4 linked regions of the Styela clava genome follow. The protein of the gene in region 1 binds, or shares a complex with, the protein of each later gene. Links are inferred from orthologs where the notes say so. Each region holds a gene or a part of one and is shown in the gene's direction. Other genes may lie near its edges.

Region 1 (7,660 bases):
CGTAGTCTACCGTTACCATATTAATTAAAAGTCCAAGTCTTGGTACGGTACCGGTACCGTACTGTCCTTGTAATTACCACCAAAACAATTGCCAGAGTAGCCTAATTTGAACCAGAAGAATGTTAAATCTCTTATTTTCTGTCTACTGCCATTCTCTACACTGCCCATGCCGTCAAGGACTGGATTAGCATTAACAGATTACGGTAATGCTGTAATGGGCCACATACCGGTACCGTACTCACTACGGTACGTACCGGTAGGTGGTACCTATTACCGTATCCTGGCATATGCAGGTACATTTAGGCTACATGCTAAACTTAAGAACCTTAAAATGTTCGTACGGTACCGGTGAGAGGGGTTGGTAGCCTAAAAGTCTCATTGCGCGCAGCGCATTAGGAGCAGCGCATTACGCACAGTGAGGCCGCATTAGGAGCAGCGCATTGAGCACAGTGAAGCCGCATTAGGCGCAGCGCATTGGGCACAATGCGAGATCACATTAGGAGCAGCGCATTGGGCACAGTGAAGCCGCATTAGGCGCAGCGCATTGGGCACAATGCGAGATCGCATTAAAGCAGCGCATTGGACACAATGCGAGGTCGCATTAGGAGCAGCGCATTGTGCACAGTCAGGATTGACAATTCATCCATCCATTTTATCATTGTTTAAGGAATCTATAAGGACAGGCCAGACTCGACTTTTAGATAGTAGCAACAGTGATTCGACTTGACTTGGTACTCGAATTTGATAGAACTAGATTGGTGACACGTTACTGTAATTTAACAGCTTTGCCTTTTGTTGTTACAGTGGAATCATGTATGTCTGAAATTGGTCAGACGAAACAATAGGAAAATATATTTGTCTTATTGTGCCAGATAACTTCGATGAGAATATAATGATTATTAAGACATACCGAAGATTTATAGACGACTGCAAACTATTTTGGACATGAGGATCAGAAAACATTCATATCTGCAGTTATAGCTTGTTTGTCTAAAGGAGTTAGACTATGATCTAACGAAAGCTTACAAATATACCTGTTATTTCGTGAAAAGAGATAATGCCATACTTATTGACATAAATTACTCAATATAAATCCGCTGAATACTTTTCAATCAGCTTTATCATCCAAGTTCCCCACTGTTAATGATGCATTCAAAAGTTTCATTGATTCTTCAACATACCAGGCGCGATTCTCACTGTGCATGTTTACTTGCGGTTGCTTTTTTATCATAAGTATGTTTGTTCAAAGAATTCTTGCTATGATCCAACGAAACGTTGGAAAAACACATCTGACTTAAATTTGCCCCATGATTCTGAATCACATATAATTCAGTTCAGAATAATCATTGAAGATATAGATTGAGTTCAAAATTAATTTAAATCGTGGAAAAAACATTAAAATAGAGAAATATAAAAGCGATAATGCGTTACAAGATTTAACATATTTGTGAACTTCAGAGTATATTTTCAGAAGTGAGGCAGTATTTATTAGATTTTGATTATTCAATGTAAATTATTAAGGAAATGTAACTGGTAAACTGTTCATGGAAGTACCAGTTTATGTCTGAATACTTTTTTAAACTGAATAGGTCAAGCGCAAATCTTATAGAAAATTAAAAACAAACCATTTTCTGATTGCGGCAATGTTTATTTTAAAATCAAATCATTTTATATGTTGTTTTTGTGATTTTCCTGTATTTATCATAATGATATTTATCATCATATTGACGGTATGTAGCATTAAATGCATATTCATGTGTGGGTGATGTACACCGATAAAATATAGCCAGAAACACAAAACATGTGGCTTAAATTGTTCGAGTTGTTTCAATGGGGTAAAAGGCAATCTATAGAACTTTTATTAAACAAAGCCTGGACGACCTGAAGTATGCGCACCAAGATGGCGCACAACCTGAACTCAGGTTGTACACAAGGTTAGGGTTCAGGTTGTGCGACATCTTGGTGCACATACTTCACGAGTACCCAAAGCCTTATACAACTTTGATTGTTTATGCCTAAATGGCTATGAGTAACTATAAAACTTTTTCCAAAATTGCTCTTTTCCAGTTTCCATTTATCAATAAACATTTCCAATCGTTTTTTTTTTAAATATCGTCACGCTAATAACCGAATTGCGTAAGTCATATTTAGCAGTTTTGAGAAAAACATAAAAAACTTCCTAATGATATTGTTATGCCATTGAGAGTCAATAATTTGTCATGGTTCAATTTTTTGATTGTTGCCGGATTTGAGTTAATTTGTATGACGCAGTTAATTAACGCACTGTGACTTAGTCAGAAATGTGTCAATGACTTGGGGACATACGCAATTTTGCAACTTTACTATATGCACCAGTCCTGGAAACTAAACATTCCAAAATCGAATGTAATTCTCAGTATCTACAATGTCTAATCCCCAAAATAGCTAATCAGTTTCAATTACATTATTTTTTATGTTTAAAAATATATATTTTATCAATATAACACGCTTTGCACACCCACCGAAATAAGACTAAGATTAAATATAAAGAATAAAACAGCAATGCACCCAATATAAAAGCCAACCAAGGTGGATTGGACTCGGACAGTAAATATCACAAGTGCACGTCTTCCTATACTGTAGTATGAATTCAAATTAATACGCGCGCCGTATGCCTGACGACGGTGAAAAATGCATAAATGCGTGGCATGCGGAACTTAGTTTCACAGAAAATGTCTAAGAGAACCTCCTGAAGTAAACCACGAAGAAGATTCGAAATGGACTTGCGACGACTGCGAATCCACAGGGATACATTTCGAAGCTTTACGAAACATTTTCATGAAGTCGTCAAAAAATGAGCCAGAGGAAACGGATAAATAAGTTTCGATATATAAAGACTTCTCAATCGTTTTTATCAAATCTAGGGAGAAAAGGTTGGGAATAATAATACACGAAATGGTTCACGCAGCTGGGGTTTTGATGCATGAAGGTGGAAGTGAACATGGACCTAAATTTCAAAAAAGAACCCGCCGTATGGTCAAACAATTAAAATATCATCAGAAGAAACTCCTTCCAGAGCTGAGACATCTGAGCATAAACTTCAAAGATATAAGCAAATAATTAAAATATGTTATGACTATAAGTGATTAGAAAAAAATATTAATAAATGACAGTTCAAATCTCTTTCCTTTATGTTATGTGTGTGGTATAATTAAACATAATATCATTTTCCACTGCTGTTGTTTTTATTTTGCATAAAGATCGAGGTTAAGAACGATATAATTGCATTCAATTCAGGATGGAGGAAAGTTGAAATCATCATGTGAATTAATCGCACATATTTATGGGAACACTCATAACTTTTTTCTAAAATGCATAGCAGATGTATTAGTAACTTCTTATGCAAAGCCTTGTTGAATGGGATGTATGGAATACCCCATAAAATTGGGGCTACATATCACCGGTCCGAGTCCCAGCAAATTCGATTGCCAAGTCAAGTCGAATTCTATTTAAAAGTCGAGTTCGACTTTATAGATTCCATAAATAATGCTAAATCCTGACTGTGCGTAATGCGCTGCTGCTAATACGGCCTCACTGTGCCTAATGCGCTGCTCTTAATGCGACCACGTATTGTGTCCAATGCGCTGCTCCTAATACGTCTTCACTGTGCTCAATGCGCTGCTCTTAATGCGGCATCACTGTGCGCAATGCGCTGCTCCTAATGCCACCACGCATTGTGCCCAATGCGCTGCTCCTAATGCGATCTCGCATTGTGCCCAATGCGCTGCGCCTAATGCGGCTTCACTGTGCCCAATGCGCTGCTCCTAATACGATCTCGCATGTGCCCAATGCGCTGCGCCTATTGCGGCTTCACTGTGCCCAATGCGCTGCTCCTAATGCGGCCTCACTGTGCCCAATGCGCTGCTCCTAATGCGATGCTCGCAACGAGCAAATTACAGTAACGTATCATCAGCCGAGTTCCAGCAAATTCGAGTACCAATTCAAGTCGAATTACTGTTGCTACTTTTTAAAAGTCGTGTCTAGCTTGTCATTATAGATTCCATAAACAATGATAAAATGGATGGATGAATTGTCAATCCTGACTGTGCGCAATGCGCTGCTCCTAATGCCACCACGCATTGTGCCCAATGCGCTGCTCCTAATGCGATATCGCATTGTGCCCAATGCGCTGCGCCTAATGCGGCTTCACTGTGCCCAATGCGCTGCTCCTAATGCGGCCTCACTGTGCGTAATGCGCTGCTCCTAATGCGCTGCGCGCAATGAGACTTTTAGGCTACCACCACTAATGGTACCGGTACCGATGTACGGTACGGTAACACTGACACCATGCCCTTCACTTTCTCAAACGTCGCCATCCCTAATCTGCTCCACAATTCGACCGCATTTTGACATCCCCAATCTGCCACTACGCTTCGACCGCATTTTGCCATCCCTAATCTGCCACCACGCTTCGACCGCATTTTGCCATCCCTAATCTGCCACCATTCGACCGCATTTCGCCATCCCTAATCTGCCACGCTTCGACCGCATTTCGCCATCCCCAATTTGACTTTTCGTCCCTATTTCGCCATCCCTAATCTGCCACTTTTCGACCGTATTTCGCCATCCCTATTCTGCCATCCCCAATATGACTTTTATGCTACCACCACTATAGGACACATTCGCCACCAAAGATACAGCAGTTTTTTCACAGCTTCCGTGGGTAGCTTTTCTTCATTTGATGTTGCAGAAATTTCGTGTTCAGTTGTTAAAATGTCTCAAGAAGGAACTGATCCATCTGTGGCATATAGACAAGGCCTTACTGCAGCCATTGGTGCAGTGTGTGTGGAAAACGGCTGCGAGTTTGTTCGAAAGTCCGCACTGGAGACATTGACAGAAATTGCACAAAGCTGTAAGTGGATTTTTGTATGTCAATGATAGATAGATAGTTAATTCTGAAAACTCCATAATACACAAAAATGAAGAATTCTGGAAAGCGAGCAAAACCTTTAAAAAAGTTTAAAACAGCACATGCACAAAAAAATTACAAAAAAAAAAAACCTGCTATAGAGAGATTTGGGCCAGACATAAACAAACAAAAATACGCTAATGTATTGAACTTCGGGCTGTTATGTAAGTAAATGCCATAAATTAAATGTCTTGAAAGGTTGGAAATATAAAATTCAATCTTTAACAAACTTAGTACACTGATACAGCAATATATAGATATATGTTGTTAATTGAGGTAATGTTCTTCTTTCCCTATTTACCAGTGGTATTGCGATTAACTGAAGATATTTACATCAAATCTAAACCATGATAAATCGATAATATTATCATAACAATGCACGTAATATACATAACAAAATGGAGTTTTGTTGAATACTATGTTTTGATCTTTCTATAATTCCAAGTGCTTTTATTTATTTTGCAAGTGAACCATTTCCAGATTTCATCATATAATTGCAATGCTAACTATATTAGCTTGTTCTTTCTACAGTTTCACATGTTTTGACAATAACCTTTATTATTGAAATTTTTTTTAATCCTGCCTAATCGATAAGCCGTGGTCGTTTTTATATTTTTATGTCAAATAATGTTCAACTTGGCAACTTATTTCTATAGTTCAACATCATTAACGTTTTCAATGGCTAATAAATCTCTCGACTGAACAAGGTTTTTGAACATCTAAGTTAGTTATTTCACAAAGAGTGATATTAATATGGCATGGTGTAGTTAGTTTTATTAGTGAGATAGGTAAAAAGCAATACATGTTGTCAATATTTGAATAATTTTACATTAAGAAGTGAATTTTACATTAAAAAAGAGATTATTCTTGACCTGTCAGACCAATTTCTCCACACATTTGTAGGGATATTGAAACTCAGTGAAATGGAATTAATCATTGCATCTAAATCAGTGTTAATGATTAGTTATTACATCAATAGAATTTGTTCAATTGAAACTGAATATGTATTTTATTCACTGAAGATTTAACAGAGATAGCCAGAAGTACTCGCCAATACTGCGAAATAGGAGGACGAAGTCTTCCAACACTTCTTGATATTCAAACTGCATTGGCTGATGCAGGATTCAAATTCAATACACTGCCTGACTTTATAAGAAATAAGCGAAGAGTTTCCATTGGTGAAGGTCAGTTAGTTATTTTTCAACTTATTCAAAAATGTTCAAACTCTTTTTTCGGTTTCATACAAAAGGTTTATGATTGTGGAGTAGGTGAATTTGAGTGGGAGTGGTGATTCGTCTACGGCCCATTGAAATGGGCCGCGGCCCATCAAGTTGTGTAATGGGATGAAATAATAAAGACTAATAAATATGTAAATCCTACCCACTTCCCGAACTTATAATAGAACTATAATGTGAAAAATCTGAACAAAGTTTTGTCCTAATTTCCTAACCTGGTACACATACTTCAGGTGTATCCTTTTCTGTAGCTTAGTATTTTGCTTTATTTTTGGACACGTAGTGGACATAGCGATCATTTCAATATTATGTTGTTGTTGTTCTCACTGTTGTTCTTTGACACGTTTTGAAGAAATCGCTTTTCTCTTCGAATACTGGACCAATTGCTTTGAAATTTTTAGTGGTTGAAGATAAAATTTTTCTCCAGAAGGCTATTACTTTTTTTTCACTACGACGTCATTAAAATTATTCCCACTAGGTGGCGCTACGTGTCCATATATTTGAGCATAGCTATCTTGTTATGTAAAGGCTTATCGCAAGAAAAAGGTTTGATGGCATCCCGCGATTTTTTTTTGTTCGAATATTGACAATTTTGTAAGAATTGAAAATTTTGGTAGGACAATTGAATTTTTTCTGATGGGCCGCCACGGACCATGTGGCCCAATTAGATGGGCCGTGGCCCCGGCCCATGGGCCTTAAAGGAGTCACCACCCCTGTAGGTGAATTTGGTATGTCTTTGTTATTCATTTGCTTCTGACTTTTTATATTTCAACACTTATATGATTTGTATATTTGAATTTTTCATATGAATATATCTCTCAAAGCAAGGTAACTAATTATGACCCAAAAATGAATAAATTGCTGAAAGAAATATGTAAATTTATTGGAAGAAAGGAAAAATTGTGCAACACAGAATTATGGTTTGGACCAGTCATATTGAAAATTCTTTTTGAAAAAAAAATTACCCAGTTAATTTGTTAATTTAAGTAGCAGAGTGTTCGAATTTCAAAATGTCTTTCTTTCTAAACATCGTTCACATAACATAACAAATTGCTGAAATTTATTTGCTAACCATTGCGGGATTAACGATATAGAAAGTGTACAATTAATCATTCAATTATCGATCACTACATTTTTAGGTTATTGAATAGACTACTTCATCACCTGAATGAAGTATTAAAGTCTGAAGTCTCACAAAGTATTAAAGTCTTATTTATATGTTTATAGTTTCCAAGACAACATCTTCACAAAATCCAAATGTTCTTCTTGTTGGTGAACGAAGAAACTTTCCAACACATATTCCGGAAAATTCTACTTATCCTAAATTTCCAGATCCTCATACTTATGTTAGGACATTGGTAAGAATACTTTTTTGTAATGATATTGCTAAACACCAAGGCGTGTGCACATTTGAGTAGAGAATCAATCTTTGAGATAATCATTGATTTAAACAACCTGCGATTTGCTAATTGAAATT
Region 2 (6,481 bases), about 2.3 Mb from region 1:
GAGCTACGCACAAATATATGGACACGTTAGACCAGAGCGAATCAGTCCTTACCGGTACCTTTGACGCTACCGGTACCCTCAAAAAAGTTCTGAATTTCCAGTAGCAAGAATTTTGCAGAATCAAAACGTACAGCCAGTCATGACACTGACTAAAATCCGTGTTCCCATGGATAAAAAATAATACAGCAAAATTTTAGACGAAATATCAAATTTCATAGAATTCATGCAAAATTTTGAAATAAATAAAAGTAATAGCCTTCTAGCAAAAAAATTACTCTTTAACCACTGAAAATTTCAAAGCAATTGGTCCAGTATTCGAAGAGAAAAGCGACTTTTTAAAAATGTGTCAAAGAACAACAACAACAACAACATAATATTGAAACGATCGTTATGTCCACTACGTGTCCAACAAGAACAACACAAGAGAGCTACGCACAAATATATGGACACGTCAGACCAGAGCGAATCAGTCCTTACCGGTACCTTTGACGCTACCGGTACCCTCAAAAAAGTTCTGAATTTCCAGTAGCAAGAATTTTGCAGAATCAAAACGTACAGCCAGTCATGACACTGACTAAAATCCGTGTTCCCATGGATAAAAAATAATACAGCAAAATTTTAGACGAAATATCAAATTTCATAGAATTCACGCAAAATTTTGAAATAAATAAAAGTAATAGCCTTCTAGCGAAAAAATTAATCTTCAACCACTGAAAATTTCAAAGCAATTGGTCCAGTATTCGAAGAGAAAAGCGACTTTTTAAAAACGTGTCAAAGAACAAGAACAAGAACAACAACAACAACATAATATTGAAACGATCGTTATGTCCACTACGTGTCCAATAACAACACAAGAGAGCTACGCACGAATATATGGACACGTTAGACCAGAGCGAATCAGTCTTTACCGGTACCTTTGGCGCTACCGGTACCCTCAAAAAAGTGCTGAATTTCCAGTAGCAAGAATTTTGCAGAATCAAAACGTACAGCCAGTCATGACACTGACTAAAATTCGTGTTCCCATGGATAAACAAGAGAGCTATGCTCAAATATATGGACACGTAGAGTCACATAATTTTGATGACGTCATAGCGAAAAAAAAAGTAATAGCCTTCTGGAGAAAATTTTTATCTTTAACCACTGAAAATTTCAAAGCAATTGGTCCAGTATTCGAAGAGAAAAGCGACTTTTTAAAAACGTGTCAAAGAACAACAACAACAACAACAACACAATATTGAAACGATCGTTATGTCCACTACGTGTCCAAAAATAATACAGCAAAATTTTAGACGAAATATCAAATTTCATAGAATTCACGCAAAATTTTGAAATAAATAAAAGTAATAGCCTTCTAGCGAAGAAATTTATCTTTAACCACTGAAAATTTCAAAGCAATTGGTCCAGTATTCGAAGAGAAAAGCGATTTTTTAAAAACGTGTCAAAGAACAAGAACAACAACAACAACATAATATTGAAACGATCGTTATGGCCACTAAACGTGTCCAAAAAACGATCGTTATGTCCACTAAACGTGTCCAATAAATATATTCTATCTAAGTCAGATGTATGTTAAACCGTAGTAGTATATATTTACGGTTAAACTAGTTGAACACAAAAGCTTAAAGAAATGGTCATCGTGAGTGTGCGACACCAAAATTTAGTATAAGTCAAAATTTTAAGAAAAAATGCTCTAGACACAAAAAGAAACTTTAAAAAAAATTTAACAATAATAAGAAACAAGAGAGCTGTGCTCAAATATATGGATACGTCACAAGGTGTCGCTATTTTTTAATCTGACACATGAAAAACGAATCTATTGAAGTCCACAGCATTTTTGAAATAAGTAAAAGTAATAGCCTTCTGGCAAAAAAATCAATCTTTAACCAGTAAAAAAATTCAAAGCAATTGGTCCAGTATTCGAAGAGAAAAGCGATTTCATCATGACGAAAGAGGAGAATAATAACAACAACAACATAATATTAAAACGATCGTTATGTACACTGACGTGTCCAATAATATAATTCTTTACATATGATTTGAATAGGATAAAATAACGTAGCAGTTGAGGGAAGACAATTAGGACACAGTATTCAAAAAAGCACGTTTCATTATATTATTCAGCTGTACTTCTGTACGATTACGGAGCTTAAATTTTTATTTATTGACACATGCAACATCGAAATGCACAATCATTTTTATTCGAGAAAAATAGTACGTATTTGCAATATAACTGTGTGTTGGTTTTTAGTCAATTCGCCTCGAAAATCGTGTGAAATCGGTTCTCCAAAATTAGCGGCAACTATCCGGTTAACCGCATAGTTAAAATACGAGATACCCGGACAGGCGCGCAGCCAGGATTTTCAAAAGGGGGGGGGGGGGTTCATAATCATAAATTCCCATTGCGGTCTGTAACAGTCTTCGAATTACGCGCTCGTTAAAGGGACGTCTTTTCAGCGTATAATGATTATTCTTGTCGCGTGAAATATTCAATCTCTGACAACTACAAAATTCTAAAATGTTCTAAATTATTAAGTTAATTGTGTCCAACGTAACTCGCGGTTGCTTCTTCTTATGTCAAAATAAAAACATTAGTTCTCTGAAATGCCACGGCATCGGTGGACATAAAAATATGAGGACAAACGGTGTATTTAATTTTAATACGTATTTTTGGAATCTTGCCAACTCGTTATCGCCGTTAGAAAAATCACATTAACTGATATAAAATCCCGAAGAGTACAATTTTATTTCGTAATCAAAAATCGCCGCGATCACGCCACTTCTTAAACAACGAAAAATGATTTTTCTGTTGTGCTAAGTAATCAATTCGTGACCGATAAGGGCATATTTAAAATGTCTTGCTTTATTAATTTAATTGTCTTCAATTTAACCAGCATTTGCGTCGACAAAACAAAACAATTTTTTACAATTCACAATTTCAAAATACCTCGGCCATTTGCCGACATAAAAATAAAAATTTGTGGTAACTGCCCGTCGCCTATCATATATTGTTTTGATCCGTATTTTTTCTATTTTGCAAATTCGACAAATTTGAGATGTGCTTGTAACATTGACTTCGTTCAATCGCAATGCTGACACTCCGATTATTTTTAAAGATAAAACCTCCTGAAAAATCCGTAAATCTGCTGTGAATTCTCATGGAGTAAAATTTATTTCAGTACAATAAAGATTGATGGATATACTTCGGATTAATTATCTTATATATCATCACAAACCGGGAAAAAATCGTAAGTAATGGATAAAAGGCAAATCCCACCCACAATTAACCGTGTTTCGATTTTAGTGACGGTATGTTCCTAAACGGCGACCAAACATAATGTGCGCCATAGGCACACGAAATTTTGCGATTTTGCGACTAGAAAAGCTTTTTTAGACTGTCGCGGGACTCAACAAAACTTATATTGTTTACGGTTCTATTTTCAGTATTTTATAATGCCGCTTTTCAATCAAATTTAGATCGCGGTTTTACTCCTTCTTTTGTCTTTAGAACCTCGCCACCGATGAACGTATAATAACTCACGAATTCACAATTCCGTGCAAAGTACAAAAATAAAATAATTATCATGTTTATCGTGGCACAAATTTATGATTTAGAAAGAATAAAAACCGACGTAAGGGCGTTTACGGCCCAAATAACACGCTGATGAAAACATGGGCGATTTTAGCAGAAGGCAATTGCACGCTTTTTCAGTTTTCACATTTCCGTGCGGGTACAAAAATAAAATAGTTACCATTGTTCCCGCGGCACAAATTTGTGAGATTAGAGAGAATAAACACATGTAAAGGGCGTTCACGGAATAAATAACATGCCGCGTTGATGAAAACGAACGGCGATTTCAGCAGAAGGCAATTGCACATGTTATCGGCAACTTTTTCACTTTTCGGAAAATTCAAAAGGGGGGGGGGGGGTTCGACCCCGACCCCCCCCCCCCCCCCCCCTGGCTGCGCCACTGTAACCGGATATATCCGTTATCCGGATAGTATAAATTATAGGTATCCGAACTAACTCTAATTATATGATCTACTTGAATTTGCTGTTTTTTTTAAAGCCCCATCAAAAATGTTGCCCGATTTTGAATCGCGTTCACTCTCCTGTTTTTTTTTTTTTTTTTTTTTTTTAATTTATGTTGGGTAGTGGGTACGTGACTTTTTAACTTTATTTTAAGTTATGCTCGCATCCCGGGTATCTCTGCATTTTGTTAGTCTGTTTACTTTTTGTGTTGTTTATGCCGGAGAACCGAAATAAAATGAGTGATTGGTTTGATTATCCAACGAAATCTATGCTCGGGGTAGCAACCATTTTAGGTTTGATTTTAGATTACTGCAGATAATCGAAATTTTCACAATCAATTTTAAAATCTTTAAGTTGAATGTGGGTAAGTTAAATTTCCATTGTTACGAACTTACGATAAACCTAGTCACAAACATATCCTAAAATCCTGTTTATACACAAATGTATGCACGTAAGTTACCTGTGTCGCTTATGGCTCTATGGACTGCTCTTTGTAAAATCCAAAAAGCGGAAATCCGACGCGGCTTGTGAGATTTATGTGCGTTTTCATTTTTATAGGTATCGTTAGTAATTGCAGTAACATGTAAAATTCAGGTATTGAAAATTGAATTTATTAATTTCGGCATTCGTCTCAGACCCCCGACTAGCAGCTAACAAATTAATTTATTGCAAGCTCTCCAATAACATAAGAATTGGTGGAAATGGCAGACTCTGATGGTACAAAGCAAAGTCCTCAACATTCAAAATCTAGCAGCCAACAAGATTTAGATAAAAAGAAACGTCTGTTTTTTAAAGAAATTCGATGTATGATGTATGGCTTCGGAGATGATACCAACCCCTATACAGAATCAGCAGAACTCATAGAAGAACTTGTTATAGAATTTATAACAGAACTCACACATAAAGCATTGCAGATCGGAAGGCCTGGAAGAGTGCAAGTTGAAGACATTGTTTATCTCATACAAAAAGATGCAAGAAAATATGCCAGAGTTAAAGACTTATTAACTATGAATGAAGAACTTAAAAAAGCAAGAAGGGCTTTTGATGAAGCGAAGTTTTGATTTCCAAATTTGCACTTGAAAAAGAACTAAATGGGAAAAGAATTGTGAATATAAATGGTCCGATTGTGCAATAAACCGAATCATGTCTTACAAAGACTAATTCGTCTGTACAAAATATTTGATAATGTTTTAATCAAATCAAGAGGCCATAATTTATCATTCACTCTTTATATAAAATATTTATGTTTGTTTTGCTCTGAACAAGCAGCTATTAAGTAAGGAGCTATTATAGTTTGGAAGAACCGGATCATTCCGGTTTAGCTCTGCCTATCCAATTTATTATACCGGTACCATAGGTGTGATATCTTCATAGTTTAATCTGAAGCAGGGGTGTGCAACACTCAGCTCAACACACCTTGTCAACACTCAGATTTTCCCCACCAAGCATAAAATCCTAATCCGACAGTTTATGTTTAAAAATGCGCTCACATGGTTAAAAATATGTAATGTTTCTGTCCTCTTGTCGCTGCATTTGATTTTTGCATTGTGCGAATTTTTTAATTCGTTGTATCCATGGAAAAACCAAATTTTTTGTGCAGACCAGCTGAATGTCTGAAGTTGGTTATATGGGCCACCGACAAAAAATGTTGCACATTCCTGGACTGGAGTATAATTGTTTGAGTCTAGGCTACTCGCCTATTAGTATTTTGAATGTTTAAATTTCATTCCAATCTAAAAAATGCAAACTGGGAAGATTGCTATAACATAATTGGCACTTGATCACACTACAATGTGATGGAGATTATTCTGACCTAACTTACTCCATTAATTTTTTTTGATGATAGAGTTCGAACAATACTGATGTAAATCAAATTTTTTCAGTTTGTCTGGTGTTAACATATTTTCTGTTTTTGTTGTTTTACTTTATCTTACATTTATAGATTAACTTTCATGGTTTTTATCGTAAGTTAGTCATGTGATTTGAATCTAAGGATTGTCAAAATGTTTTACATTCCGCACAAGAATGGATGTTGTGAATAAAGCATCAGAATTTTTTGACAAGCACATTAGGATTGTGAAGGTAATTTTTGCTGTATTCTTTAGTGTATTTATTATGCCAGACTTTTTTTTATGTATTATTATTATGTTTTTAACAGAATGCAGGATATGTGATTGCTGGAATAGGTGTTTTTATGATTGTAAGAAGATCAAGACTCGTGAGTTTATATTTGCAATATCACTGTAGTCATTTATGGTAATTTTTGGATAATGATTCCATTATCTTGACATTTGTTGTTAACTAGAGTGGTAAATATATGAAACATATATGGCATCTTCACCGATTTTGATTTAAAAATGATGTTCAAAATATGGTTTTATATACTGGAAATAATTGAACTTTAACAATTGCAAATTTGCAACCCCATATCCACCAGTCAACATGAACCAA
Region 3 (7,785 bases), on another chromosome or scaffold:
TCATTTTAATGTTCATTAACGGAGCATTGATTTTTTGTTGTGATCTTTTAATGTTTTGTTCTAGTGCTCAAGGCCAGGAATAATTGAAAAAAATTGCAAAGGTTCTGTCATGGAATTATTTTTAAAAAGTATGGGAACCACTGAGCTAGTAGAATAAGGAATTTACCAATATGAATTTTCATGAACAAATTTTGTCTTCAATTATATTGGCGAGCTGGAACATCTTTTGTACTTTGTTTTATCTGATAGATTTGTTTTGCGGTTTTAAGATATTCTCAGTTTAAATTTTATGATATATTTTTCATACAAGGCTGGGCCTGAAGACTTAAAGCATGTTGATCCAGAATTTGTTCAAGAACCTGTTCCAGAATCTCTTGGGGAAAATGACGACCATACTGTAAGTTTGTGTGTATTGATGCAATTTTTTTCATTCAATGGATCAGCTTGCCACTTTGTGGCTACAAAAGACTGATATATCAATATTTGCTGTTAATTAAGTCTATCTTGTAACTGATTGTTAGTACATTTTCTGGCCTGTGGCTGTGTCTCACACAACAATGTGATTGATTTATTCCAATATCTGTATGTATATCCTTTCTCCATATTATATTAAAATAACATGCAATGTTTACATTAAATTATAGGTAAATGCAAGTGTTCAAGAAGTTGATGATGCCTTTGTTGGATTCTCATATGCACCACCTTCTATCCTTTCAAACTCATAACCTGGCATTTATGGCAATCTTGAGCTTGGACAATGCTAGTGAAACAATGCAGGATCTGAAGGCTTCTATGACACATTGGGTGGAAAAAATAACAGCATAGTTTGAATTAAACAATTTGCTTCATGATTTTTTGTCAAACTATGAACTGTGGAGTGAGTATGGGGCATTCTGGCCACAGACTTCGTATCGGGAAAACAAAACATGAAGCAGGTTGAAGAGAATTCTTATCGGTTTGATGTCTTCAAAATATCCACTAGATTTAAATTTAACTAATGTGAAATATGCTAAATTTAACCATTTGATCATGGTTTATGCCATTTTTTTTTCGCGAAATTTGAGTTATCAGACATTGGTAAGACAAATTATGATTACCGTATTTGCTCGTTTTGTAGCCCGGGCCCATATTTTTTTCAACCAACTCACTAACCGGGCCTTAATGCAAACCATCCCTTATTCAAGCACGGACGCTTGTTATTTTCGATCGTTACAATAAATAATATATTGTTATTTCCAGTTCTCAAGTATGGTTTAAACGAGAATAACGAAAATTTTGACATTTTCTACGCACCGCAGGTACAAATCCGCAAAAGAAGAAAAGATTTGCGACGCCCCATCAATATTGAAACGATGCTCTTGGGCATCGGGACGCCCAGTTTGAAAACCATGGTGTTACATAATCAATGCTATCTGTTTTGACTTGGACGCCTGAGGCGTGAGTGTTATCTACCGGCGCTCAAAATTCAACAGCGTTGTGACAAAAGCGCTTCTTATTTCCTATTGTTCTCTACCACTGAAAAAGTCAGCTTTTACATCTGGCGGGTATTCAAGCACGGGCCCTTATTTATTTTTATGTTTTGTTCACACGGGCGGCTATTCAAACAGGCCCTTAATCAAGATCGGGCGGTAAAACGAGCATATACGGTATACTGTAACAGTATTGAAATCTCTCAAACAATTTGAACTTTATTAAATAACAAATTAAGTATGTTCATTTGAAGTAAATTTTTGTTCTCCCTTCTTGAATTCCAGATATGTGATTGTAAATTGAACATTGCCTACTACCTCTTAGTAAAAAGAAAAATGATAACTGTATTTCATGGATGTGACATGGTTTAAGGTCTATACTCGCTCATTCAACACTCATTCTGTTGCCTTTTTTCATGCAAATTGAGAGCTTTTATTTTTTCTTCCAAAGCCTGAATTGGTTGTTTTTCATCATTTTGAAATCAGATTCTTACTTTTTTAAAATCTCGCTCACCTTATATTATTGCATAAAATGTTGATATCATTTTGATCAATAGTTTTTGCTACCCATCATGAAGTTAACTAATTTTGAAATTGAATTATGCCCGTTCTTATACACTTTAATATGAAATATTAAAATTCATGCAGTTTTCTATTAGACTTTCCATAACAAGTCCTATGCAATGTTATCTTAACATACTTGTATGCATATTTCCATAACATTTTCACAAAGATTGAAATTTCACTGAATTGTATTGCCAACAGATTTGTTCAAACCAAAATTGTGTTCAAACCAGTGCGTTCTTCCATTTAAACGGCCTTTATCAAAAAATAACGTTAAAATATATATATATTTTATCAGTGTTGCTATTTCATAATATTTTCTGCGTTTTCAGTGGAGCAACAGATTTGTATACATAATCTGCTAGGCTGAAATATGACATTAATTATATGGGGTAAAGTAATCTGTGTAACAATTTATCACATGAACCCAGAAAATTTTGGCTATAGTTTTGGCTTGATGGCAGAACTATAAATTTTTTAAAAAACAAGCCTATTTTACATAACATTTTATGTAAATAGCATTAAAATGTATAGGCAATTGCTTGATTTAACTGATTTTCTGCCTATCTCTGATTTTTTCTTTAATTGAGCCAACATTTCTGGCAGTGCTTTTGAATTCAAATGTTTATGACTGTTTGTCTTTTGATTCTCAATGTTAACTGTTTTTATATATAAGATGAATGTACAGTGATACCTCGGTAGTCGAACAACTCGATACTCTTAATAATTTGGTAGTAGGCTAAAAAATTCTAGTCAAAAATGCTGAGGTACTCGAACGTAAATTCGGTGCTCGAACACCTGAGCATGTGGCCGAGTGAGATGATCAGATGACGTCTCCCAATCCGCGCATCTCGTCCGCGTCTTGACCATTCAAGAGAGATGCCCAAATATATGGATGCGAAGGCCAAAACGTAGTAGGATGTGTATGTAGTCTGTCACGGTAGTCAAACACCAGTCCTGAACGAATTATGTTCGACGGCCGAGGTATCACTGTGTTTTGATTTGAAAAGCTGATATTTTCATATATTAGAGTGCATATACTATTGACATGAGATGTGATTATTTTGTTGTATTCTTGCAACTATAATGTGCTTGTAATGTTTCTTTACATTATGTTCAGCTTACTGTTTTAAAGCTTATGCTGTTATTCAACATAATAGCTCTATAGGTATGAATAAATGCCTGTCAAGATCACTTTTCAGAGCAAACACACCTTATAAAAAGGTGTACAATGTTATAAGTAATAGAATCAGTAGTTTATTTTCCCCCATAATGGAAATGCATGCTGCATATACAGAATGTAAAATTGGAATTGAAAAAAATAATACTGATTATCGTGCAGTGACACTCTTAATGAAGACCAACAATACTTAACACAATGGTAATAGAAAAAAGTTGAACATTGACATTGAAAACAAGTAATTTTGTAATGTCAATTGTAATTTACCAATGAATATTGCCATTATTTACTAATAGGAAATGCTTGTTTATTGCCATTTACTGTTAAACATGCAGTTTTGCATTTCTTGAACACCAGTTGATCATCATTGATAAATTCTAATGCTCATTTTATATGCAAAACCTGATTATATGAAGTAATATAGGTATTTATAATGTGTTCATCCTCTGGCTATATTACTTTTTATACTCCAAATATTTCTTGATTGGAATAATTTTATTCATGTCCAGTTATGTCTGTTTTACCATAAACATGATTTTTGTTGTTGTGATATAATGGTAAATTTGCCTTGAATGTGGACGAATATTGCATTTCGTAATATACCATCTTGCATACTTAATGGTAAACTAGTTAATATTGTTATAAAATGATCATTCTTAATATATTGTGCAATATTGTTGAAATCTTTCAGAAGTGAATTTTTAAACTTTTTGTTTGTATCTCCCTGAGTTGATGGAAAATACCATTTGTTCAAAAATTGACAAAGAGAAACGTTTTAAAATATCCTCCATTGTCTGTTTTTTTGTAACTTTGAGCATAGGATTTAGTTATAAGTTCAATGCTCATCAGTTTTTGCAACCTCCAGAAATATATAGAAAATTGTGGAAACTTTTTATCAGTGTCTCTTTAAAAAATCGATTATGCAATCAAGTATGCATTGTACTGGAATGTTAGGTGATCGATTGGAAACAATCTAAAGTAAAAATGTGTCAAAGATTCAAATCAAAATTGGCTATTATTTTTCAAAGTCTTTAATATTATATTATGGGTCAGGTTGAAATTTTTCACAAACCTTCCAATGAAAAGTTTCTTTGTCAGCATTCATCACAATCAATTTTGATGTTATTGCAGTAATGTTTCCGTCATCAGGATAATTGTCCCAAATACTATTATTGTGAGTGGTGTCAGAATTATTATCGACATATTGATCATTCCATATCATCTTACTTTGTATACAATAATGACTATGCCATTTTCGTTAATAAATAAAATTCATTGAATCCAGCCATTTTATTTGTGCAATTCGTGCCTTGTGTAATATAACTGTTGTCGTTCTGGAAACAAAAAGATTGACTTCATCCTATTTGTCATTTTTTTCAAATGTTTCTGTATGAGAATTATTTTTGAAAATTTTTTTTTGTGTTGTTTTCATTTTTGAAATCATGATTTTTCATTGTATACATTTGAATATTGATTATTGCTATTTAAAATATTTTACTTGTATTTCTATACCCAGGTATATTTCATAAAGTCCGTATTTAAGTAAGGTTTTGTCATGGCGGAGAAATACAGCAGAAGTGTGCTGAGAGTTGTTATAGCTCAGCTTAGTCAAGCTGTTGGATTTGATTCAATTCAATCATCTTCTCTTGACATTCTCACCAATGTGTTGGAACAATATTTACTTGTTTTATCAAAGTCTGTTCATGATTTTAGTGAACAATGTTGTCAGACAAAACCGAACCTATTGGATGTAGAATTTGCATTAAAAAGAATGCATGTTGCTATCCCTGATTTAGTCGAGTACATGCAACAAATGGAGCCGGTTGCTTTCCCACATAAGGTGCCAATGTTCCCTGCACCAAAGGATTCGAATTTACAATTTCCTTCTGGTAATAATCCTGAAGATTTTGACAGAGCGGAACATATTCCTCTTTACATGCCTTCAATGATTGTTGCACCACCAAAACCAATTGTTGAAACTGAAGAAAATGATTTACCTGAAAGCCAAAAAAGTAAGAAAGCAACATTTGTCATTGCTGGCAAAGCACAAGGCTCTTCCTCTGATGAAGATGATTATTCTGCAGGTGAGGCATCGAATGAAGAATACATGTCCGATGATTCCCTATCACATAACCCAGTGAAGTCTCGTCATTTGACAAAACCAGAAGACATTCCAACAATTGAAGGTACTGCACCAAGTAGTATGATGTCTGAATGGGATGAGCTGCGTGGTAGCATGTCACCAACAAGACGAAGTAGTTTTGAAACGGCAAGTGAATTACATGAACGACCTGTAGTAAAAGGGAAAAAGAGTTTCGATGAGCCACATAATTACACACCATCTCATAAAACGACTAAACCTTTTCAAGACTTGCCATGGTTGAGCCCTGATAAACCCACTCCAGAAAAGCGTCATGTGCCATCCACGAGCTCAAGTGTGCGTAAGGATTCTTGGGCGTCCAAAACTACAAAATCTGAAGACCCAAAATGGCTGTCTGGAAAGAAAAAAACTGCTGATGTGTATGATGCTGACTGGTTGCAAGGTGAAACTGCATCTCCTGTCCATTTATCTAAACAACACACACCAGATTTATCACTTGGAAGCTCCACGGTGGAAAAGAAACCATGGCTAAGTAAGGATAAAGATTATTCTTCTACACCTAGTAACAAGGGCACACCTAGCTCAAAAAAGCTCATGACTCCTCAAAGTGGAAAGCAAAGATTGACTTCGACTCCAAGCAGTTCTTCAAGCCACAAACATTTTTCGAAACAAGGTATTGACCGAAAATCATCTCATCACAAACCATATAAATCATTCAAACATTCATCATCTAGCAAGAAAGCTGACCTAGGGGACGAGCCTATAAAAGCTAAGATTGAGGCGGCAGAAAGACTTATCCAGGGTCCTCCTGTACCTGCTTACAAACCTCAAACTCCAAAATCAGTAAAACGTGAGCCTGGTCTGCAATCACCTCCTAAGTCTCCAGTGCGATCTAGCATTGAACGAGCTGAAAAACTACTCAAGCATCCTGTTGAGAATTTAAATTTTCCTCCTTCAAGAGAAACCTCTCCTGTAATCAAACAAGAGAAGCTTTTTCCTGGCAAAAGTCTCGAAGATAAAGATCGCTCCAACTTTGCATCTTATAAATCTATGGATGATGCAATTGATGCTGTTATCAATAGAGCTTCAGAAGAAACTGTAAAGAAAGATGAGCAGGCTAAAAAAGATGCGGAGGAAGCAGATTTGATGAGATTCTCTCATCTTGTAGAGGATTCTAGTTCATCAGATTCTGATGCGGATGTTTCTCATAAAGTGGAACAAATGTTGCAACTGGAAGAAAGAGGACTAAGAGATGCACATCCTCCTACTCCAGGATCATCTCCCATTCCTACTCCGTCATCCGCAGAAACTCCACAATCTCTTGACATAGATGATGAAGATGAAGATGTTATCGTTGATTCTGATTCAGGTGAATCAATACCATTACCGCCAAAAATTTCACCTGTCAGTGAGAAGTCAAAATCCAAACATGAAAAACATAGTAAAAAAGAGAAGCACAAAAAGAAAATGAAACGAACAGATGATGGAAGCAGCAAATCCTCACACAAATCGCATTCAAAATCGAAAAAGGATAAACACATTCATAAACCAGCATCTTTCGTTACCACAGAAACAATATCTGAAAAATCAGTTAAAATGAAAGTTAAACTAAAACATTTGAAACACCCTGAACCTAAACTTTTTGACGTCGATCAAGATTTGTTTAAAGCTGACATGAAACAAACACCAAAACCATTTAAAGAAGAGAAACATAAATTTAAAGAAGGCAAGCATCATAAGACAAAAGAACATAAAAAGCATTCGACACCGAAATTATCGGAAGTTAAACAATCTTCTGGTGAACACGATATGTCAGTGGAAAAAATAATTCTGAAGAAGTCAAAGAGCGGAGATGCAAAAGTAGTCAAACCCAAAGTGAAAGAACACGCAAGGTCACCTTCACCACCATCTCCGGTGATTAGTCGAAATTTACCATTGCCAAAACTTTCTGCTGCAGTTCCCGTCATGAATGTTACAGCAACAATCAAAGAAAAGGAAAAGAAGAAATCTAAGAAAGAGAAAAAGAAGAAGAAAGATAGAGATAAGGACAAAGATATTGATATTGGATGGTCACATGATAAAGAAATAAGAAGGGAAAGCAAAGAAAGAAGTCATCATAGAGAAAAATTTAAAGATCCTGAGAAAGACGTCGCTATATCGTTAAGACGTGATTCTTTTGATTCTGATGCTCCTTCCCCAATGGTACCAAAACTAACATTAAAAATGGGAGCAAGTGAGAAAAAATTTGTTATTAAGCAAGGTGGCAATTCTAGTGTCAAATCTAGTACCAAAAAACGGTCACATTCTTCTATTGGCGACAGCCCAATACCTGCCAAAGAACGAAAGGTGTCTGTAGAAAGTGTAAAAACTGTTTCAGAGAGTTTTGCAGCTGCTGTTGAAAGAAAAGTTATCACTCAAACGATAAGTGCTGGCCCAGCTCCGGCTCCACTCGGTGTATATGAAGACGAAGA
Region 4 (6,719 bases), on another chromosome or scaffold:
ATCTCAATACGAAAATTCCGTTTGGCATTAGAATTTATTTGGCACAAAAAAAGGTAGCGGCCCATATCAATAACATGGCATGCGACAGATTCTACTTTGGCAAAACAATATATGATATTTCCAACAGAGTGTACCCCCAGCTAGAAAACTCTGCAATAAGTACTTTAAGAAGAAACTGCTTGATAAATAAGTGCGAAAATGAATTACGGCAAATATGGGAAGCACTTCCAATAGAATGGAGAGAGATTTTATCAAGGAATAGGGAATTTGGTCAAACAAGAATATTAATTGATAGGTACAATGGGTCGAAAGACTTGACCACTAATCAAATTTATAGGATTTTACAAAGTAAGAAAAATGATACATTTTTGAAAAACCATGAGGAATACATATTTAATAAATTTCACCTAACTAAGGCAATTAATTGGAATAAAATATGGAAAATAAATATTGGAAACAAGTATAAAGAGTTATGTTGGAAGTTAATTCATAATGGGTTGCCCACTGGAGACAAAATAAAACAATGGTTCATTGATGAACCAGGAATGTGTGTCTTATGTGAAAATAATGTTGAAGAAACTGTGTGTCATTTATTTTTAGAATGTGACTGGTCTAGTGATTTTTGGCAATGGTGTTGCATAGATATTAATCAAAATACTATTATAGCAAACGATTCGGAATGCAAATCAAAATTAATCACAATATTATGCGGAAAATCAACAATTTGGCAATATCGAAATTCAGTAAAATATGATGAAAGAGATAAAATGAAAAGTAGTATGCGTTCAATTTTCAAGTGTAAACTGGTAGGGATTTTAAATTTACTAAAAGCAAGCGAAAGAAATGAATTATTGTTATATGAGCACATGGATGATCTTTTACATAGGTCAATCATGATGTAAGTTTATATGCAACACCATACTCTGAAAATTATTGAAAGTATGTTATCTGTACATCATTTTCATAAGAGGAAGATGTATCGACTATGAAACATAGATGGCGAATGGGAAAAACCCAATATGAAAGCGTGGATTTTTCCATATTCTCTGTCTAATTTTTGTATTCTTGTATTTTTCATGCTAAAAAATTAAAATAAAAACTGATTACCTGTAAATTAAAATTATATTCAACTAACTGCTGAGTGGATTACATGTGGATTAACTCAACTTTTTTGGACATATATTGGATTATATTAAATTAATGACATCATGGTAATGGTATGAATTTTGTCTTTATTTTGATTTTTACTATTCATATGTATTGGGGGGAATGGGATTAAATTAAAAAATGATAAACAAAAACATGGAAACAAAAAAAAATATCTATTTATATATTTATAATAAAATGATTTGATACCAAAATATTAATACGAAAATTCCGTTTGGCATTGGAATTTATTTGGCACAAAAAAAAAAAAAAAAAGATTCTACTAGACAGTTTGTAAATGGTATGAGAGTATACTCCACATAACTGTGTAAGTTTATATGGTGCAAGATCCACTGAAAATCCAATAGTTATTAGATATAAGTTTATTTCAACTCCATAATCAGCAATAGACGATAAGATAATTGATGAAAACAAAATAAATGAAACTGAATATAGAATCGGGAAAGCAAACGAAACCTCAAGTAAGGTTTTACATATTTTAGGTGGGAAGGTATTAATAAAAGAAGTACCGAAGTAGTACGTTAAAGAAGTAGTTAACGTTTCTATAAACTTGAACACTGGTGGAGAGGAATAGGAGTTTCCTAGTTCTGTAGTTGTTACAGTACCGGTACCGTATTGATACTAGCTTAAACAACAATATTGTTTTGGTTCAGTCAGGTATGGAATATCAGAATATTGCAGAAGTGGCATACCATGTGCTTGTAACCTGCTACAATCATGGTATAATGCTCCTGCTGTTAGGTTTTGCATTTGATTTTAAAAGTTTTTCAATAGTTTTAATATTGGCTGATTTGGTGGAATTTTGTTTTTTTTCTACCCATGAAACTCTTATCTGAATTTTTCAATTAAAACTTTAAAAATTTTCTTTCTGCCATTATTTGAAATGTATTTAATTGTAGTAACTGAACATAGGAAACATTTTTTTACTCTAAAACTGTACGGCCGATTCGTTCCAAATGTTTCGCCTCTCGGACTTTCTTCGATCATTTTTTGGCACATGCAGACATGACAATTTGAGTTAATATTCGGGCTTTCATTCACCTTTGAAGATGTTAGAAAATAATAATCCACTTTGTGGAGCCATTGAAAAAGAAAAATATAATAGCCTAATATCAGAATATAGTGTCTTGGGAATTGTTTAAAAACATTATTATCGGTATATAAATACATACAGATTTTTAGGTTCATTAACATATATTTATCATTGTTTCGTTAAAACAACTTATCATTACATTTCATATAATTCAGTAATTTGTGTTTACTTGTTCACAGGACATGATCTTTCAGAATGCAAGTCTTCAAAATAATTTTTTTTATAATAATATCAACAAGTCTAAAATCTATATGCTTGGCTGAGGAGGGAAGTATTGTTCTTTCTGATGGAGTGTTTATATACAAGAGAGAAATTGTGAAAGAAGCATTGGCTTATGGACAATATAATGATGAGATTGCAGAAAAAGGATGGGGCATCCTCGACATCACTGCAACGACGCATAACATGAAATACTCTCCTGATCAAATTATGTATGCCGCTGGAATGTTAGAAGGAGCTCTTACATCAAAGCGTATATATCAAAATTATGAGAATTTGAAAGGTTTTTTGTTTGATAACAGACCTGCTGATATATACAATCGTTCTTGTGATTTTTTTGCCAAGCAAGAAAAATGGTTAAAGGAGAATGTGATTTCTGGGAAAGGTGATATTAGATGGGAAGCCGTTGGGTACATGCAAAGTCAATTGGAGGGACTTCTGGCTGGATATACTCTGACAGCCAATAATAGTATGAGCATGTGCCAAATGCATTTGTTGAACGGAGCAGGAGACATGTTAGATTTATTTAACGTCTTCCATAGACCATCGCTAAATCATTTTAAAAGAATGTCAAAAAAACAACTTCGCCAATATAACCAGAAACATGGTCATTGTTCTGTTCTTATTAAAGTTACTCCAGGATTTGAAAACATGTATATGGGACATAGCACCTGGTTTGTTTACAGCGCAATGCTTCGTATTTATAAGAACTATGATTTTCAAGTTTTCGGTAAGGAACATAAAAATTCAAAAATGTCATTTTCTAGCTATCCTGGTTTTCTCCAGTCATGGGATGATTTCTATATATTGGGAAGTGAAATGGTTATATTACAAACTACAAACAATATATACAATACTAGCTTGTATGATCTTGTAACTCCTAAATCCCTTTTAGCTTGGCATCGTGTTCGTGCAGCAAATCTTCTAGCTAGCAATGGGTATGATTGGGGCGAAATCATCAAATTTCACAATTCTGGCACTTACAATAATCAATACATGGTGGTTGACTTGAAAAAATTCACGCCTGAAATTGGTTTCGAAGATGGTGCGTTGTATGTTGTGGAACAAATACCAGGATTTGTTGAATCTCATGACCAAACAAATATCTTAAGGGAGGGATACTGGGCCTCCTATAACGTACCCTTTTATGAATCTATCTACAATATGAGTGGGTATCCGGCTGTTACCAAAAACGATCCTGATTTGTCACATGACTTAGCTCCGAGAGCAAAAATATTTCGACGTGATCAAGGCACTGTTGTTGATATGGAAAGTATGAAAAAAATTCTCCGTTACAACAACTATAAATTTGATAAATATTCAGAAGGTGATGCTTGCAATGCTATATGTTGTCGCAATGATTCAAATTATATGGGGTGCACTGATTCAAAAGCAACCGATTACTTTTTGGCCAAGTCCTTTACTACTCATGCAATAAATGGGCCGACGGTTGGTGGATTGAGTGATATTCCGCCATATAAATGGCCACAAAATTCTTCCTATCATGAAGGAATGCCTAATGTATGGAATTTTACTTTCATTGATATTAAGCCTAAATATTTTGGGTAATCGATAGTAATAAATTATGATAATACTATGCAATGTTTTTAAATTTGCATTTTAAATCTTTTTATTATATGTTATATAAAATACAGTTCATTTATTATTCAGTGATGAGTTCTATTTGTAATTTTTTATTATTCCTGTCATGATTTTTGAGATAATATTTGGTATTTGAATATCAATATTTTGCAGGAATTCATCTTTTATTTTATACTATAAAATCGAGACAGTTAAGAAATATTGTACAAGTATAATATAATGACAAATTCTCGAATACCTTCAGTCATTTGGTTTTGAGTTTTCAATTTTTTGTGTGTTGTACTCAGTCAAGTTTGACTATTGGAAGATTCTTTCCTACAATTCAGAAGATGATATGTTGCTAAAAGTGTTATAGAATTGTGTTTCCGTTTTACGAATATTGTGTTTTATTGTTCATTAGGTACTCCTGAAGTATGGGCACCAAGATGTCGCACAACCTGAACCCTAACCTGGTACACAACCTGAGTTCAGGGTGTGCGCCATCTTGGTGCGCATACTTCAGGAGGTCTGTTTATTATAATCAAGTAGATTTATATAAGTTGAGGATATATTATATATACAGGGCTGCCTCCTAAAAAACAGAACCTATATTCTGGAGAAAACATAATTTTTGTGCAAAGTTTCTTAGATTACTGAAACTTTCGTTTTCCATCATACACAAAAAGAAGTTCAAGGGTTAAATTAATTTTCTTCATTTTTTTCTGAAATTTTATTGCCAAGCAATATATATACACTATTATGCAATGCTCGACATCATATTACTAGATGCATGTTGATATAATATTTCTTATTGTTATTTCTGGCAGACACTTAGGTATATTATAGCCATGGATAAACCGAGCAATGCTCCATTTGAATTGGAAAATTACTTTTTAATGAGGTTACCTCCGGATGCTGCCACCAAACTCAATGAAGTTATGCTTGCTGGAAATTTGAAAGACAGACTAACATTGAATATGCATGATGATTTACGACATGGTGCAGTGAAATTTGATGGGGAATGTTATTCAGGAAAAGTTTGGGACTTACCTTGCGTCATTGAATGTCAAAAAACTGTAGATATGAAGACTTTTTATAAAACTAATAATCTTAGCCATATGCTTGTTTGTACTCCCGATACAGATTTAAGTGAACATAATTCTAATGTTCAGCAAAATTTAAAATCGAATCATTTGAGAGAGCGGAAATTTCTATGGCCACATGGAATTACTCCACCACTAAAAAATGTTCGGAAACGTCGTTTTCGTAAAACGGCAAAAAAGAAGTATATTGACTCTCCTGATATAGAGAAAGAAGTGAAACGACTTCTAAAAGCTGATATTGAAGCTGTGAATGTGAGATATGAAATAATGACAGAAGAGGAAAAATTGGACGATAAATCGAAAAATTCAGATTCTAATGATGCTAGTCAATCTTTGGAAAATGATGAACTTCATAAATTTTTTCCTGAAGTTAGTTCGGAGAGTGAAAAAGAGGACGATGATGACGTAAACGTGGAAGACGTTGATAAAGACGACAGTTTAGATTTTATCGAAATTCCATCTGGCGTTCCTGTCGTGACCAATGAAGGAGAGAGAGCACGATTGAAGGAGAGATTATCTAAATTAATGACGGAAGTGTCCGAACTCAAAAAACGTAAGGAAAGGAAAGAACAACTAATCAGAGGCCAAATCACAAATGAAATGTTAAAAGTCAAATTTCAAGGTGAATTAGAGGTCGTTCGTTCCAGAATTCAAGATGATATGAAGGATATTGCTATGACAAAAGCCAAGTTGGGCCTAGAACGCTAATTATTAATTAAGGGATGCAACAATTTCACTCTTCTCTTCTTGACATGCTCTCCTCAACATCAGGAAAATATACACGTAAATAATTGGGATACAGTGATGTATGTGGTGCAAATAAAAGGTTTTGCTTATCTTCCCATATTATAGCACTCATTGCTTTTTTATCTTGGACAACATTTTTACCAATCCTTTGTCAAACTTACGTAGAAATGTCATTTCAATCAATGTAAATCCCTTCTTTACAAAATGTGATTTTCAATAAAATTTTAAGAATTCAAAAATTGTTTTTTTGCTTACTAAAAGTCATTTCACTTACTATTATCTGCTTTTTTTTATAGACTGCAAGATCTAATTATTATAGTATGAATCCCGTTTATTTCTATATTTGATAAACATAATCATTCAACATGTTTTCTGGATTATTTGGGAAAAAGAAGAAAAAAAATTTGCCTAATAATGGTCGGACTGAAAATGCTTATGAACAAACTAACAGTAACCACACCGAACAACCTCCAGAACCTAAACAAAAGCTTGTATTCCATACTCAGGTAATATTTGACATTGTTGGTTTTGTGCTATTCAATCCCAAACCATACTTATGGTCTGAAAGTGATTATTACGAAGCCTGTGCTGAAAAAGGCATTTGATACTGACGGTATGAGCTTTTCTGTCTGAATAAAATTACCATTTATTCAGTAATCTGACATACTGTTATTAATTTTGTTAGATATTTACCAAATAGTTGGGTTTTAGAAATAATTTACGATAGATTTATTAAAGAAGTTATCATTTTAAGCCAGGGTTTCTAAACTTTTTGTGCAGCGGTCCCCTGTTTGTCTGACTCTACGGCA

The links.
Region 2: transcription initiation factor TFIID subunit 8-like (region 1) and transcription initiation factor TFIID subunit 13-like share a complex: the UniProt entries of both Homo sapiens proteins name them as parts of the TFIID basal transcription factor complex. The link is inferred for Styela clava from reciprocal best matches to the Homo sapiens genes TAF8 and TAF13.
Region 3: transcription initiation factor TFIID subunit 8-like (region 1) and uncharacterized protein LOC120346397 share a complex: the UniProt entries of both Homo sapiens proteins name them as parts of the TFIID basal transcription factor complex. The link is inferred for Styela clava from reciprocal best matches to the Homo sapiens genes TAF8 and TAF3.
Region 4: transcription initiation factor TFIID subunit 8-like (region 1) and transcription initiation factor TFIID subunit 7-like share a complex: the UniProt entries of both Homo sapiens proteins name them as parts of the TFIID basal transcription factor complex. The link is inferred for Styela clava from reciprocal best matches to the Homo sapiens genes TAF8 and TAF7.

Annotation. Positions count from the first base shown.
Region 1 is NC_135258.1:11,736,329-11,743,988, reverse strand, and holds the start of transcription initiation factor TFIID subunit 8-like, read left to right. Parts: upstream 1-4,643; 5' UTR 4,644-4,752; coding exon 4,753-4,891; intron 4,892-5,970; coding exon 5,971-6,132; intron 6,133-7,410; coding exon 7,411-7,541; intron 7,542-7,660. UniProt on the Homo sapiens protein: The TFIID basal transcription factor complex plays a major role in the initiation of RNA polymerase II (Pol II)-dependent transcription.
Region 2 is NC_135258.1:9,412,572-9,419,052, forward strand, and holds transcription initiation factor TFIID subunit 13-like, read left to right. Parts: upstream 1-4,132; 5' UTR 4,133-4,394; intron 4,395-4,665; 5' UTR 4,666-4,731; coding exon 4,732-5,091; 3' UTR 5,092-5,973; downstream 5,974-6,481. Other genes in the region: protein C3orf33-like, read left to right, coding at 6,056-6,112, 6,189-6,248. UniProt on the Homo sapiens protein: The TFIID basal transcription factor complex plays a major role in the initiation of RNA polymerase II (Pol II)-dependent transcription.
Region 3 is NC_135257.1:9,008,611-9,016,395, forward strand, and holds the start of uncharacterized protein LOC120346397, read left to right. Parts: upstream 1-4,765; 5' UTR 4,766-4,768; coding exon 4,769-7,785. Other genes in the region: serine/threonine-protein kinase Sgk3-like, read left to right, coding at 311-397, 645-725. UniProt on the Homo sapiens protein: The TFIID basal transcription factor complex plays a major role in the initiation of RNA polymerase II (Pol II)-dependent transcription.
Region 4 is NC_135259.1:4,891,061-4,897,779, reverse strand, and holds transcription initiation factor TFIID subunit 7-like, read left to right. Parts: upstream 1-4,908; coding exon 4,909-5,871; 3' UTR 5,872-6,207; downstream 6,208-6,719. Other genes in the region: PDZ domain-containing protein GIPC2-like, read left to right, coding at 6,276-6,416. UniProt on the Homo sapiens protein: The TFIID basal transcription factor complex plays a major role in the initiation of RNA polymerase II (Pol II)-dependent transcription.